Notamacropus eugenii: one gene and its partner. The protein of the gene in region 1 interacts with the protein of each later gene in a biochemical or structural test. Links are inferred from orthologs where the notes say so. Each region holds a gene or a part of one and is shown on either strand. Other genes may lie near its edges.

Evidence for each region.
Region 2: the proteins of TOR1A (region 1) and TOR1AIP2 form a complex in vitro, tested with the Homo sapiens proteins (4 studies listed by BioGRID and IntAct, with this or other methods). The link is inferred for Notamacropus eugenii from reciprocal best matches to the Homo sapiens genes TOR1A and TOR1AIP2.

What each region holds. Positions count from the first base shown.
Region 1 is NC_092872.1:481,392,135-481,399,577, forward strand, and holds the start of TOR1A (torsin-1A), read right to left. Parts: upstream 3,011-7,443; 5' UTR 2,915-3,010; coding exon 2,734-2,914; intron 458-2,733; coding exon 192-457; intron 1-191. UniProt on the Homo sapiens protein: Protein with chaperone functions important for the control of protein folding, processing, stability and localization as well as for the reduction of misfolded protein aggregates.
Region 2 is NC_092873.1:465,746,533-465,753,981, forward strand, and holds the start of TOR1AIP2 (torsin-1A-interacting protein 2), read left to right. Parts: upstream 1-4,444; 5' UTR 4,445-4,618; intron 4,619-4,719; exon of another isoform or gene 4,720-4,911; intron 4,912-7,449. UniProt on the Homo sapiens protein: Required for endoplasmic reticulum integrity. Regulates the distribution of TOR1A between the endoplasmic reticulum and the nuclear envelope as well as induces TOR1A, TOR1B and TOR3A ATPase activity.

The DNA.
Region 1 (7,443 bases):
CCTCCCAAATGCTGTATAACCCTTTACAAAGGTGCAAAATATAATACAAAAGGGACATCCAGAAAGAAATTCTCAAAGATCATTCATTTGTTTAGCATATTATCCCATAAACTTCATCATCACCCACACAAAAACATCAAACAAAGCCCAACCCCTGTGCAGCTGGGAAAGATTCCAGATTATCTTCTTGCCTTATATTGTACGATGTTCCCAGCATGTGGAAAGTGCAATGTGGCCACAAATAGGTGCACATAATCACTGTTAAGTCCACCCTCATAAATATGCTCAGCTATGATTTTGCTGACAAAATTTTTCCCTGTGCCAGTCCATCCATGCAGGGAGAGGGTGAGAGGTTTCTTGGACTTTGGGTTACTTATGAACCCGGACACAGCATTTAATATCACTTTCTTTGCAAGGTGCTGTCCAAAGAGCTTGCTGTCAAGGTCCTTCTGTAATGCTGAGGAAAAAACAAAAGTTGTCATATACAAGTAAAAAACTGGTTGGCAGACTAGATAAAACATACTACCAGCTAAGGATTGGTTCAGATCTTCTGGGATGCTAACCAGCTATAACTAGCAGTTGACTAAAATAACCTGACTCTTCAGCCCCAAAGAAATTCTGTGGAGGACTCCCCCTCCCCCAAACCCTTGCTATTTCTTCCTTGCTGCAAACTTCCTGGGCCCCACCTATGCCAACGACACATCATCTTCCAGCTTTTTCAAACAGGAACAAAAACTGTCCATCAGTTTGGCAGAAAGGCCTCTGCCTCTTCAGTGTCTACATCACATCTAAGAATTAAGTAGCCAAATCTAACCTTACTTTATGGCTTCCTATCTTGGGAAAGGAGGAAAATGGGGCTCATGTAGATTCAACCACCACCTGTACAACTGAGGGAGACAAGACTCCCTCTTTCAATATCTCTCCTCTTCTCAATGAAGAATATACTTTTAAGAAGATTCAATTACAAAAGTATTCTATTTTCTCTTGCAAAGAAGGCTGAAGCAGGGTCTACAAACTCCATTTTTTGTTGGAGGCAGCAAGCAGCTCCCTATCTCAACTTCCAACCTCTTCCCCACAAAATCTCTGCACTTACCCAGGGAGCCCCCACTACTCTTTCCATGGCACCCAAAATGTTCTCCCTTGTCCTTACCAGATACCACCACTCCTTATCCCCTCTCCCTCCCTCCCTCCCCAATCTCCAAGTTTTACTTTTCTATGATCTCCATCCTTGAGGAAATACAATACAATGGAAAGACCACTGGACTTCAGAGTCAGGCACCCTGGGTTTTAATTCTAACTTTGCTATTTTAATAATGGCTCAAAATTCTGGATTACAAAGTGTTTTACTGACAATACTATGAGGTGAGGGTTTTCTCTCTTTTTCTTCTGATCCAGACCTGTGATTTCATCTATAAGAGGGAAAGTTTGTTGCAGAAACTCCCTTCATCAATACAGATGGACAACTCTCTGGTTATTCATCCATATAATTTTCTGGGGACACTTAAGTGACTTACCCAGGGTCATACAGGACTTGAACCTGGCTCTTTCTGACTCCAAGCCTAACTTTTATCCACTAAACTCATTCTTGCCTCTCCACGTGGTGACCTCTGCCAAGAAGCATGGCCAAGTCTTGGGCCAGTTAATTATGGTTGGTTCTCACCAATTAGGAGCATGGGCCCAAGCCTGTCAAACTGGACAAGGCATGCAATCTCACTCAAGCGTCTTCCTCTTTAACCTAACCCAGCAACTCCTTCTCCTCCCCTTTAGCAACTATAATCAAATCAATACTACCCTTTTTTTCTGGAAAGGATTTGCCAAGCAAGCATCATGCCAGGCCCAATGCTAGGTACTGGGCATACGAAAACACAAAACAGCAATGCCGACTCAGGGGGAGTTTACATTTTAACTGGAGAGACAACAAGGTCATATAAGTGTATATGGAACAAACATAAAAAGAATAAATACAAAGTAGTTAAACAGTAGTTTGAGAAAGGAGGCCCCTAGAATTTGAGGAATCAGGAAAAGCTTCAAGTAGAAGCAAACAACTGAACTGCATCTGAAAGGAAGAGAGGGGCCCTATGAGGAAAAGGAGGTGCTCCAGGAATAGGGCAAAGGTCTGGAGATGGGAGATGGCGACCAACTGTGCTATTATTGTTCCACCCACCATCTTACCCAAACTCCCTGCCCTAGTCACCACCATCCCAGTAAGAAAGGCAGCTCTAGAGGGGCAGGGGCCCTCTCAATTCTGTTTTTATCCGCACGGTTTCTGTCGCAGCCAGGGGGCGCTGTGGAGAGTCCGCGGCTTGGAGCGGTCAAGCTCGGAGTTGGAGTCCAGTCCCAGACACCTCAGGCCACCCCTTCCCTCCGCACCAGCACGTGCCTCCGGGGCGGTCGAGGGCAGTGAGCTGGGCGGACACTCCCCAACCCCGGGGCCTCACTCGACGCGGACCCACTTGTGGAACCCTGGGCAGGCTGCTCGTCCTCTCTAAAGGGCCGGCGAAATGACGGGGTTGGCCCTCACGACCCCCAAAGTCCCCCCAGGACCCCCGCTTCTCCCCACATCTCAGAGCGGGTCTCTCCACACTCCTGGCCTCCAGCTTCCGGGGAGCACCCAGGGTCCGGAGGTGCTCATCGCCCCACTGTACTGATGGAGAAACTGAGACTCGCGAGAGGACGGGGCCGCCCTCCCTGCCCCCGGCCCGGCCCCGGCCCCCGGCCCGGCCCCGGCCCTACCCTCGCGGCTGAGGCTCCGCTTCTGGCTGCAGCACTCGGTGAAGAGGCAGTAGAGGCGCGGGTAGGAGATGTAGCCGGTGAGCACGCCGGCCAGGGCCAGCCCCAGGCTGATGGGCTCCACGGCCCGCACCAAGGGCGGCGCCAGCAGCAGCAGGCCCAGGGCGGCCCGGACCAGCTTCATGCCCGGACCGCACGGAGCCGAGCCACACCGAGCCCGCCTTCCCGGCCACGGCTTCGGCCGGTGAAGATGACAGGCCGCCGCCGCCGCTTCCGGCTCCGCCCCTCCTCTACCGCCCGCCGCCATCTTTGTGAGGGGAAAACACTTCCCGCGCCGCCTCCGAGGACGGGCAGCGAAGCCGGAGCCGGCCATCTTGGAGTGGGGCAAAGAGCCGGCCTCCTCCCTCCCCTCCAACTGCTTAAGACTCTGATTCCAGACTTTTTAGTCTCAGGACCATTTTACACTCTTGAAAATTATTGAGGACCTCAAAAAACTTTCCTTTACAGGAGTTATCTTTGTCCATATAGGTGGACAGAGTGGATAGTGGATAGAGCTGCTAGGCCAGTTAGACGTAAGTTCAAATTCGGCTGTATGACCTTGGGCAAGTCATATTCATCTGTCTGCCTTAGTTTCTTCAACTAAAATAAGAATAATAGCCCCTCCCCCCAAGGTTGTTGTGAGGATCAAATGAGATAGCATCTGTAAAGCACTTGCAGTTCCTGGCACACATATACATGTGTATGTATGTTAATAATCATTTAATATCATTTTTGGACTTTAATAAGGGCTAGAACCTGAATTAATCAATCAGAAGAAGAGCCTGGCCCAAACAACCTCTTTATTCTCTGAGTAAACTCAGAGAATACCTCTTCCTATGTCAACAAGGCTAGAGGGGGCTTTTCCTTTTTCCTCTGTTTAAGGATGTGACCCTTAATCGGACACAGTATCTTTTTTCTGTATCTTAGTATTTTGTGGACATTTAAATGTTATAACATGTTAATAGTAAAGAAAACACAGATATCCTGGGTCATAATTTCAACTGGCACTTTGTCAACTCTCTTATTGTATTTACAACTTATTCAATTAAGAAAATTCCTTTCTCATGGTATAAACACATAGAATGTAATTCTGAGGGAGGGACACAGATATCCTGGGATTGTCCTAAAACAGATTTAAGCCTTGTCACTCTTGTATCAGTCAGTCAGAACTTATATTTTGTCTCTTTGTACAAGTTCTAGTTTAGACTAGCTCAAAGTGAATAAACAATATGCATTAACATATCACCTACCCTGTTTGCCTCCTTTAACCAAATTTCCAGATCAGCAATGTATATATACATATATATACATATACGTAAATACATACACACACATATATATATATATATATACATAAGTACTTAATAAATGTTTGTTCCCTTCCTACAACTTAAAACTTGATACAATTTTAAAATATTCATTTATTAATTCATTTAAAAATGACAATGTATCACAAGTGAACATGAATGTTTTACAAAAAATAACCCTATTTTCCAAAACAATGAATTAGTGAGAAAGCATTGCTTTACAAATCTTTTCAAATTTTGACTTAATGGAAGACACCTGATTTTCCTATCTGCTTCTGCATTGTATATTGTGATACAGTTTTGACTGAATATATGAATAGGACCAACTGTGTGTAGTTGGAAAAGGGAGGAGTATTTAAATAGGCAAGTAATATCTTAGTATTTTTAGGAAAATAATTTTGATCTCAGGCACCCCCTGAAAAGGTCTCAGACACCCCAGGGTTCTAAGGACCACACATTAGGAATTCGACCTTTCCAGGGTATCTTGATGTGTCAAGATTCTGAGAGCCTGCGACCATCTAGTCCACTTTTTCCATTTTACAGATGAGGAAACTGAGGCCCAGGAGGTTAAATGACTTGCCTAAGGTTGTACAGGTGGTAAACTATAGAGGGTAGATTTAACCCAGGCCTTTGGTCTCCAGAACCAGTGAGCTTTCATACTGGAGACTGTTTTCTTCCTGTAGAAGACAATGGATTTTGTCTTGGCTTTTTTGTCCTTAATATTCACTTTGTTGTCACACAACTGATAGGGATATTTTCTAATGCTTGTATCAGATTTCTAGGGTAGTTAGGCTCTTTCTTGTAAGCAACTCCCAGTGTTACATCGAACATTAAAATTGTGCCCTGAGTTTGGATGTAATAATCCTTCTCAGACCACCAAATTTCTCTTGGTTAACTGTATCCTAAACATTGAATTTAATAGGACTACTGTTAGCATGGAAAACAAGGGGAAGGACCTCAACATCCAAGGTGACCACATCCTTCTCAAATTCACCAGTCAAGTGACATTTTCCAAATGTGGCTTTTTTCTTATTACCATCTGACCTACTAATACAAGTTTGAACTGAACTTGGGGTCTTCCTTGGGCAGCCTTGCTGATGGCTCTTCTAAAAGTTATCTCTCTGTCTGAATGAATTATCTGATTTCAAGGTAAATGCTTTTCTCACTATACATCACCTTAACTTCAATGGGACTTGGTTTCCCCTTCTGTAAAATGAGGGAGTTGGCCTCCAAGAACCCTTATAGGTCTGAGGTTCTGTGATTCTTCACAGGAAAGGCAGACTAGATGTGTTTGTACTGCCCACTGGTACTAGAGTCTGCCACAACCAAATTCTCCATAAAGAGACTTGTTGCAACTAGAAAACACTTCTCCTCAATAAGGCAGTAAAAGGGCCTTGGTTAGTCTGTTCAATTCTACTATCAGAATTCACTAGTCATTTGGCAAATCCTAAGATCATAAAGAGCCCACCTCGTGTTCAACCTCTTTATTTTATAGATAGGGAAGTTGTGACTTGAGAACACGCAGGAAGGAAGGAAGCACAGAAGGCAAATCACATGGCCGAGGTCTAGCAGACCACTGCAAATATGCCACAAAACTGAATACAACTGGACTGCCTACTATGTGTTAGGTTAAATATTAGAAATACAAAGATAAAAATGAAAATCTGCCCTTGATGATCTTTCATTGACATTTGATAGACTGAAATCACTATTCCATAGATGTGTACAAAATATATTTTTTTTACTTTATCTATGACAGAAATTATACCTATATATAAATCTATAATCTATCATTTCATTTGTATACAGAACTCTCTACCAATGAAGATAGGCATACTTGTCAGTGAATCAGCCATCAGTCAAAAAACATTTATTAAGTGCCTCTTATGTGCTAGGCACTGTGCCAAAAGCTAGGGATACAAAGAAAGGCAAAGTGTCTGCCCTCAAGGAGCACAATCTAAAAGGAAAAACATGTAAAACCATGTAGAAACAAGATATATACAGGATAAATTTTAGATAATCAATGGGGGGAAGGCACTAGAATTGAGGGATTTGGGAAGGCTTCATGTGGGTGGGGTTTTAGCTAGGACTTGAGCCAGGGAGTGATGAGGAAGGGGAGCATTCCAGGCATGGAAGCAGCCAAAGGAAATGCTTGCTCAGATGTAATATTTCATTCAAGGAAGAACAAGGAAGTTGATGTCCCTGGATAGTGAAATACATGGGGTTGTTGGGAGGAAGTCTACCATGTCCTAAGTCTACCACTTAGGAATACTTGGCTTATGAATGCCAGGGCTAGGGCTCACACATACAAAAATCAATATAACTATCACCCTCAAGAAGTTTATATTCTGTTTTTTTTTTTAGAATAAAGTTTTATTTATATCATTTTTTTTCACATCACCTATTCTTTCCCAATGTTCCCTTTCTCTTGTCTTGCAGAAAAGTTTCCCGCATAATTGTGATAGGACCCTGTCCAAAGAGAGGTCATTCTCCTGACTGAGATTAATTGCCTGTTTGGTAAACCTGCTTCTCAATGTCAGCTAAGAAAGAATGGAGGGGACTACTCTACTACTAAGCATATCCTGTCATTTTATGCTTGTTTACTTTGCAGTGAAGAAAAGGCTTTTTGGTTGGCTGCATCAGCTGGCTTCCCTAGTTTTTCTTTCCTTGTGGTGAGCAAGGCAATACCTGCTGTTAAGCCTCTAGGTGTGAGAAGAAGTACCAGGGCCAACAAACAGGTCCTACATATGGCTCGGAACATATGATGTCTTTTTCTTTCTGTCTATTTGTTGATTCTTTCCTACTTTTAGGTGACATGTTAGAAATGAACCACACTGTGACCCTATAAGCTTTGAAAGATTAGGGGAGTCACAAGTGGCCCAGGATCTGGAGTCCATCCCAAAGTGTGTCATTTTCATCAGCAACAGCAGCAGAGTGGAGAGGCATCAGCACTGCTGTGAGCAGTGAACTGCTGGACTAGGTGTAGCAAACTCATCAAGGGGCAACTTTTCCAGTACACATTCCAGGCCACATTCATAAGCAGACTTGCTGGGACAAATGTTTCCTGACGGTGGCTATAAGCTGGAGCCCACTCTCCTCGGGGACTGAAGTAGCATGAACCCCAGCGTGGAGGGGATGTTTGTATTTCTGACCAATATATCTTCTCAACAAACATCCTTTGGTAAAAGCTAACTGATATTAATTGGTTAAATAGTATTGGGATGCTCATCACTGGGGCAATAAATGGGGGAGATACTAACTGGGGAACATGTTATAACGAGGGGTTGAGCCAATAATATTAAAGGCATTTTCTACTCCTCAGGGGTATCCTATTACCCAGAGGGGGGATGGAGCCTGCCCTCTGGGG
Region 2 (7,449 bases), on another chromosome or scaffold:
GTGTGTGTGGTCTAGAAAGGAAGGGGTTCATCTACTATTATACTTACTGATGCGTTGCCAAAAATAGCTCGAGTGGTTTCCCCAAAGAAATCTTTTAAAAAAGAAAGAGCATAGACAATTTTAGACAGAAGTTTGCTTGTTTGTGGCCTTGGTCTACCTGGGAGGACTACTTATATCCTGGCCCCTCCTCTGTTTGTGAGGTGACAGCAGAAGCTGCAGATGCCTAACAACATGTGTGTTTCACCCAGCAACCCCTTAAACCTTAACCTAGAGAAAAGTTTTAATGTCAGAGCTGTCCAACAGAGAAGTTGTTTGTCTTCAGGAATGTCATCCCTATTGGGAAGATACATTTAGAGCTGGAAAGGACTTCAGAGGCCATCTAGTCCAACCCCTTATTTTACAGATAGGGAAACAGATCCAGAGAGATCAAGTGACTTGAAGGTTTACAGGTAATCAGGGGTGAGATTTGAGCCACTAAGCCTCTGATTCCAGGGCCAATGTAATTTGTGTACCCTACCGGAGAATTTATCTCTTAGGTTTGTAGAAGGGATTCCTTCCTGTCAGATTAGCTTAAGACCAGCATAAACTTTTGTCATTTCAGTTACCAATCTCTGAAAATTACTATAACAACCCCTAATAAGGGTTTGGCTAGAATTTGTAATTCTCCATTGGGAAAGACTGCAACCCCAGTTTCTTCTTAAACTGGGGAGAACTACAGATCCCAGTGGCTTTTGTGACCAGTCAATCCAGGAGTGGTTTGATTACAATTTTAAAATATTTCTTAGTAAAGTGCCTAGAATGTCATGAAGAAAAATTTCATCTTTTAAAGCACTGAACTAAATTTCATTCTGAACTTCCCTTTTTACTGTGGAGGGGCACTACCCTGTCCCCAGTCATTCAAATTCAAAACCTTGTTGTCCTGGCCATTTGCTATTCCTCACTCTTGTCCCTCATATTCAGTCTGTTGTCAAATCTTGTCATTTCTAGCTCTGTGACATCTCTCATACATCCCATTCTCTCTACTCATACAGCCAGTACTCCAGTTCATACTCTGTCCTATCTCCACTCCACTACTGGAGTAGTTTTTTTCTAAATTAAAGACCTAACTGACATTGAGTTCTGTGGCTCCCTATTCCAAGATCAAATTAAAGACTTTGGTTTGACTTTTAAAGCTCTTCGTGATTTGTCCTCTTCCCCTTTGAAATCTTACACTTTACTTGATTCTACACACAATGTGATCTAGATACAGTGACCTTGCAGTTCTGTGGTCGTGATGTTCCATCTCTTGTTACCATGCCTGGCACTCATTCCCCTATCTTAGAGATGGATACTATTAAGACACAAACAGGGGTGTGAGTGTGTGTGTGTGTGTGTGTATAATATGTAGATTATATATCTATCTGTTCTTTCTTTGGATGTAGATAGTGTCTTCATATGTCCTTTATTTTTTAATTTTTGGATTTATAACAGTGAAAGGGACTTAGTCTTTTGAAGTCATTCTTAAAACAATATTGCCGTTACTGTCCACAATGTTCTCTTGGTTCTGCTTATTTCACTTTTCATCGTTTCATACAGGTATTTCCATGCTTTCTAAGATCATTGAGCTCATCATTTCTTATAGTATTCCACTGCAACCATATATCACAATTTGTCCAGCCATTCTCCAATAGATGGACATCCCCTCAATTTCCAGTCTTTGACACTGCAAAGAGAACTTCTATAAACATTCCATTCACATTCAAAGTTATAATTAGTTTATGAATTTCTCTCCATCTTATTTTTACTCAGTTTTGTTTCTTAGCCTCTCTTTTTACCCTATCCCTGTCACCTTATCTTCTCTCCCTCTCAAGTCCCTCTCCTACTTCATCCACCCCTCCAAGAGTCTCTTCATCTCTCACAATCTCAATCAGTACATTCCTCTAAAAGTCCCTCCCCTAGTTTTCTCATTTTTGCATGCTCAGAAGACTTCTACACTCTCCTGGAATATTCTTTCCTATCATCTCTGCCTCTTAGTTTTTTTGACTTCCTTCAAGATTGAGTTCAAAGCCCACCTTCTGTGGAAGGCTTTTCTCTGACTCATCTCTGCCCCCACTCCCAGATGTGAATGGCTTCCCCCATTGATGCCATATGCTCTATATAGATTATGTATGTAGTTAGTTATTTGTTACTATCTCCCCATTAGACTGTAAGTTCCTGGAGGGAAAGGGAGATTTCCCCCCCATTCTTTGCATACCCAGTGCCAAGCACAGTGGAGGGGGGCACAAAATATACACTTAAATGCTTATTGGTTGACTGATACTAAGTACTTTTAACAGTGGAGACTGACTGGTGATGCAGTATCTTCTGAAGGAATGGGGATCCAGGTTTCTGTTAAGTCCAAGAAATTGTAAAGACTAAGAGGAAGCCATCTAAGAGGAAGAGGAATTTATCAACAACAGAGCAGGATTCCAGAGGGCACAAGGAAAGGGGAAGACAGAGTAACAGAATTGCAGAGGTGTATGGTTGAGGTTGATGGGAATGAGAATAGAGAATGCTATAGCAAGGGAAGATTTTCAACTTGGCAGATGATGACTGAATCACAAACATGCTTAGGTCTCTCCAATAATTAAAACAATAATTACAATCACATTTACATAGCTCCTTAAAGTTTACAAAGCACTACCAAAATAAAGTGCAAATGAGTACATGATTTAGGTATAAAGGCTGATACTATAAACAAATTAGGGGAGCAAGGAAGAGTTCATCTGTTAGATTTATGGTGAATGGAGGAATTTATGACCAAACAAGAGATAGAGAACATTATGAAATGCAAAATGAATAATTTTGATTACATTAAATTGAAAAGTTTCTGCACAAACAAAGCCAATGCAACCAAGGTTAAGAGGGAAGCAGAAAATTGGGAAAGAATTTTTACAATTAATATCTTTCATAAAGGCTTCATTTCTAAAATATATAGAGAACTGAGTCAAATTTACAAGAATACAAGTCATTTTCCAAATGATAAATGGTCACAGGATATGAATAGGTAGTTTTCAGAGGAAGAAATTAGAACTATAGTCGTAAGAAAAAATGCTATAAATCAGCATTGATCATATATTGGCTCTGACCACACTTGAACAATTAATATTTCTTCAGTTACTTAAATCTGAACTTTATTTGCATAAAAATGTTTTATAATCATGTTCATATAGTTTCTGGGTTTCTCTTGGCAGCTGTAATCTCAGGTATTTTATTCTTTCCATGATTGTTTTAAATAGGGTATCTCTTACATCTCTTGTTGCAGGTTTGAACTTTTAAGTGAAGGATGAACTGCGCTGCTAGTCTTAGCCTTGTGCTTCTTTTTAAATTTCAGGGTAGTTAATCCTTTATTTATGTATTTTACATGAATAACATGATATGCTTTACTGAATACTTTATTACAATTAAGTAAACTATATTGCTAGCATCCCCCATAGCAAATTATTAACCCTGTCAAAAAGGAACTTAGCTTTGTGTTGAAAAAGACAGCTCGAAAAAGTTCTTCATTCCCAATGCCTTAAGTTCCTTAATTACCTGTACTTTTGTTATTTGAATTTCTGATCCAGTCAGTCTGACTGGAATTGCTGTCTCAAAAAATACTAGTGACTATCAAATTGCCTAATACAGCCTAATTAATTTCAATGCTAGTTACTTATTACCTGTATTTCTGTGAAGGATCTAGACATTTTTGATCATCTTTTCCTTCTAGATACTCTCACTTTTCTTATGAATGTTATATGTTCTTGGTTGTTGTTACTATAATAATGTGTGTATAGTGCTTTGAGGTTCCCAAAGAGCTTTCTTCACAACAGGACTGACATGAGTAGTTCAGTGCAGGTGTTATTATCCCCATTTTGTGGATTTAGAGGTGAAGGCTCTCAAGGGTACATTTCTTGAATGGTCCACTACCTAGTAAGTTTGATAATCAGTTGAAGGAAATGGGGTTGTTTATCCTGGAGAAGAGAAGACTTGAGGGTAAGCAAGGAGGGGAATGTTATAGCTGTGTTAAAGTATTTAAAAGATTGTCACCTGGAAGCAGGTTATATTCCTTTTGCTTGGCTCCAGAGGAAGAACTGGGATTAGTGGATAAAAAAAAGTAAAAGGGAAATTTTTCCTAATAATTCAAGCTGTCCAAAAGTGGAATGGGCTTGTTCAGGATATAATGGATTCTGCCCTCACTGGAGGTTTTTGAGGGATGCTTTCTTCATGTTTGCATTGGGCTCTTCCAGCTCTGAAATTCTGTGATTCTGCATATTTAAAGTGACCAGAATAATTTAGAGTACCTTACTTCATAGGTTGGAAAGTAGTTAAAGAATTAATAATAGCTGTCATTTGTGTAATGCTTTAAGATTTGCAGAGCACTTTGCATGTAAACTCCCTTGATCCTCACAGCACGCCAGTGAGGTAAGTGTTCTTATTATTCTAGAACTGAGGAAACTGAGGCTGAGAGAAGTGATGGGACTTGCCCAGGGATTGCCCAGCTAATAAAAGGACAAATGACAACTAGCTGATGTCAGCAGAAGACGGGAGCATATTTTTAGAATATTAATAATTTTCTGAAAATAAGAATTTTGAAGTGCTACTTACCCAACAAAATGAGGTAAGTACATGTTGTTGTTAATAATGGTAACTTGTAGTTACATAAGCTTCCTTACAGGAAGGGTAGAAAAAACTACTACTCCCAGCATTCCACTGGACACCTTTTCCTTGGGGCAAAGTTCACAGTCACATTGACCGGGGAAGATTTTGAGGCCCGGTTGTGTGTAGCTACCTGTTTTTCCAGTCCGGATTGAAAACTGAAAAGTTTCATGCCTTTGGAATTTGATTATTGAAGTGGGCTTTGATTCAGAATCCACTATTAAGAACGCTTTTCCTGTCATCAGGAATCTGTGAGTAAGTAAACTCAGTTTCTTCATCTGGAACATAGAAGGGTTAAATTAATTGATCTTTAAAGTCCTAGCTCTAACAATCCCATGATTAAAATTAACGTTCAACTTTACATTGTTTCCAGAATGCTTGCTTTTCACTATTGCACTTTTACCAACCCCAGTCCTCCCCCTCAAAAACAAGTCACCAAATAAGGAAGAATGTAGTATTTTGTGTTTTGGTGGAAATATGGGAAATATAGGTTCTAGAGAATGAACTGGAAACCTAGCTCCTGGGTCTGGTTAAAATCCTTACCCTGTTTAGCTATGTAGGAAAATTAAGAATAGTGCAGAGTTGAAGACAACTTTATGATGAGCGTCTCTAACCTTTAAGAGTTGGGAAAGAGCAAGGCTTGAAGCTTAGGTTCTTCAATTCATCCAACAGCTTGGTTTCGTAATATAAATGTGCAGTGCTCCTCCAAATTACAGAAAGTTACCCTGTCCTTCCTTACACATGATATTTAGAATGGTTTTGTGTTGTATCAGTCAATCAATAAGTATTTATTAACTACCTACTATGTGAGAGGCACTGCAAAGCTGTGGAGATACAGACAAAAATGAAACCAAGTTTGTTGAACTGATTTATTTGAATTATTTAAAACTCAGCTGTACCCACCAAACCTATTATAACTTTTTCTGTTATCAGAAATGCCGAATTTGAAACTTTGTTTTTCTTATTAGACTTGTTTCAGTTCCCAGTGAGGAACTCTTCCTATCAAACCAGATCAGGCCTGTAGTACATCTTATTGGTGGCTTTTTGGATTGGTTAATTGACTTGCCCAGAGTCATATAGCCTATATGTATAAGAAGCAGGACTTGAACCTAAGTCTTAGAGGCCAGCACTCTCTCAAAACTTCATATTTTTACTTTATATCATTAACTAAAATGGATCCTTGTACCTGGCCAGAAATCTTTTATGTTGTTTTGGTTCTTATGTTAAACAATAATGAATCATAATCATAACAATGATACTCATTATTATATAATAATATATAAAATAGTAGTCACAACTATAATAACAGTCATACCTTCTTAACTTATTTTCCCTATTCACTTACCTTTTTATGTACCTTATTAATTAATAAATGACCCATTGGGGTAATAAAAATTAAGGTACCTTAGCGGGTGATTAAAAAAATTTCAAAACCTCACTAAGCCTTGGGGCTTTCCGGTGTTATATAACGCCTTGGGAAACATAGTGTAAAATGTTTACAGTGAAGGACGCACGGCTATGGTAGTTGGTAGATCAGAACTGGATGACCAGTTATGCTGTGAAATTGTCATATAACCTTTGGGTACGTGAGTCACAGATTATTTATTTGACTTTGACAATAATGTGAAGATAATAGCATTGGTCTAAAGAGCTTTGCTCTGTAATTGGCAGCAGGGTAGAAAGAGCATTGACCTTGGAGTAAGAACCTGTGGTGCAAGTTGCCATACAGATAATAGAGTCGCAGTCAGAATTGGAACATAAGTTTCAGATTCCAAATGGAATCTTTCTATTATACCACATTGCCTTGGAATAGTTGTTAAAAAATTAGTGCAGTCAAACTAAGAGCCCTTTCAAGGGATTACATATGTAAAACTTACTAGGGAAACTCTCCTAAAAATGAAATGAAATATTATGGGCTAGGAAAGCCTTGAAAATTAAATATACCATAGAGAAAATAAATATACACATATGTACATATAAACACATATATGTGTGTGTACATATATTTTATATACATTCATTTAAAACTTTTGAGTTCCAAATTCTCTCTTCTTTCACGCTCCTCTCCTACCCATTGAGAAGGCAAGCAATATGATTCCCATTATACATGTGAAGTCATGCAAAACATTTTCGTATTAGCCATGTAGCAACAAAAAAAGGCAAGGAAAATAAAGTGGAAAAAAATGCTTAAATAAAATACTTAAAAAATGCTTAAGTAAAAACAAGGCTTAAATAGAGTTCATCAGTTCCCTCCCTGGAGGTGAGTAGTATTTTTCATCATGAGTGTGTTGGAATTGTGGATCATTGTATTGATCAGAGTAGCTAAGTCTTTCACAGTTTATCATCACTACAATATTGCTGTTACTACGTATGATGTTCTCCTGGTTCTGTTCACTTTACATCATATCCAGATGTTCATATAAGTCTTCTCAGGTTTTTCTGAAGCCATCCTCTTTGTCGTTTCTTCTAGCTCAGTAGTATACCATCACAATCAGATACCACAAATTGTTCAGCCATTCCCCAATTGATGGGCATCCGTTCAATTTCATTTTTTTGCTACCATGAAAAGAACTGCTATATTTTTGTACATTTGGATCCTTTTTCTTTGATCTCTGTAGGATATAGACCTAGTAGTGGTTTTGCTGTAAGAAATCTTTTAAATGAGAACTCCAGAGTTTTACAGAAGTTATTTTATGGGCTGCTTTTATGGTTTTGTGTACCATGTGAAATTCAGCTGATTGAAATTGCCCAGGGGAAGTTCTTTTTATCTTCTGACTGTCAGAAATGAAAAAT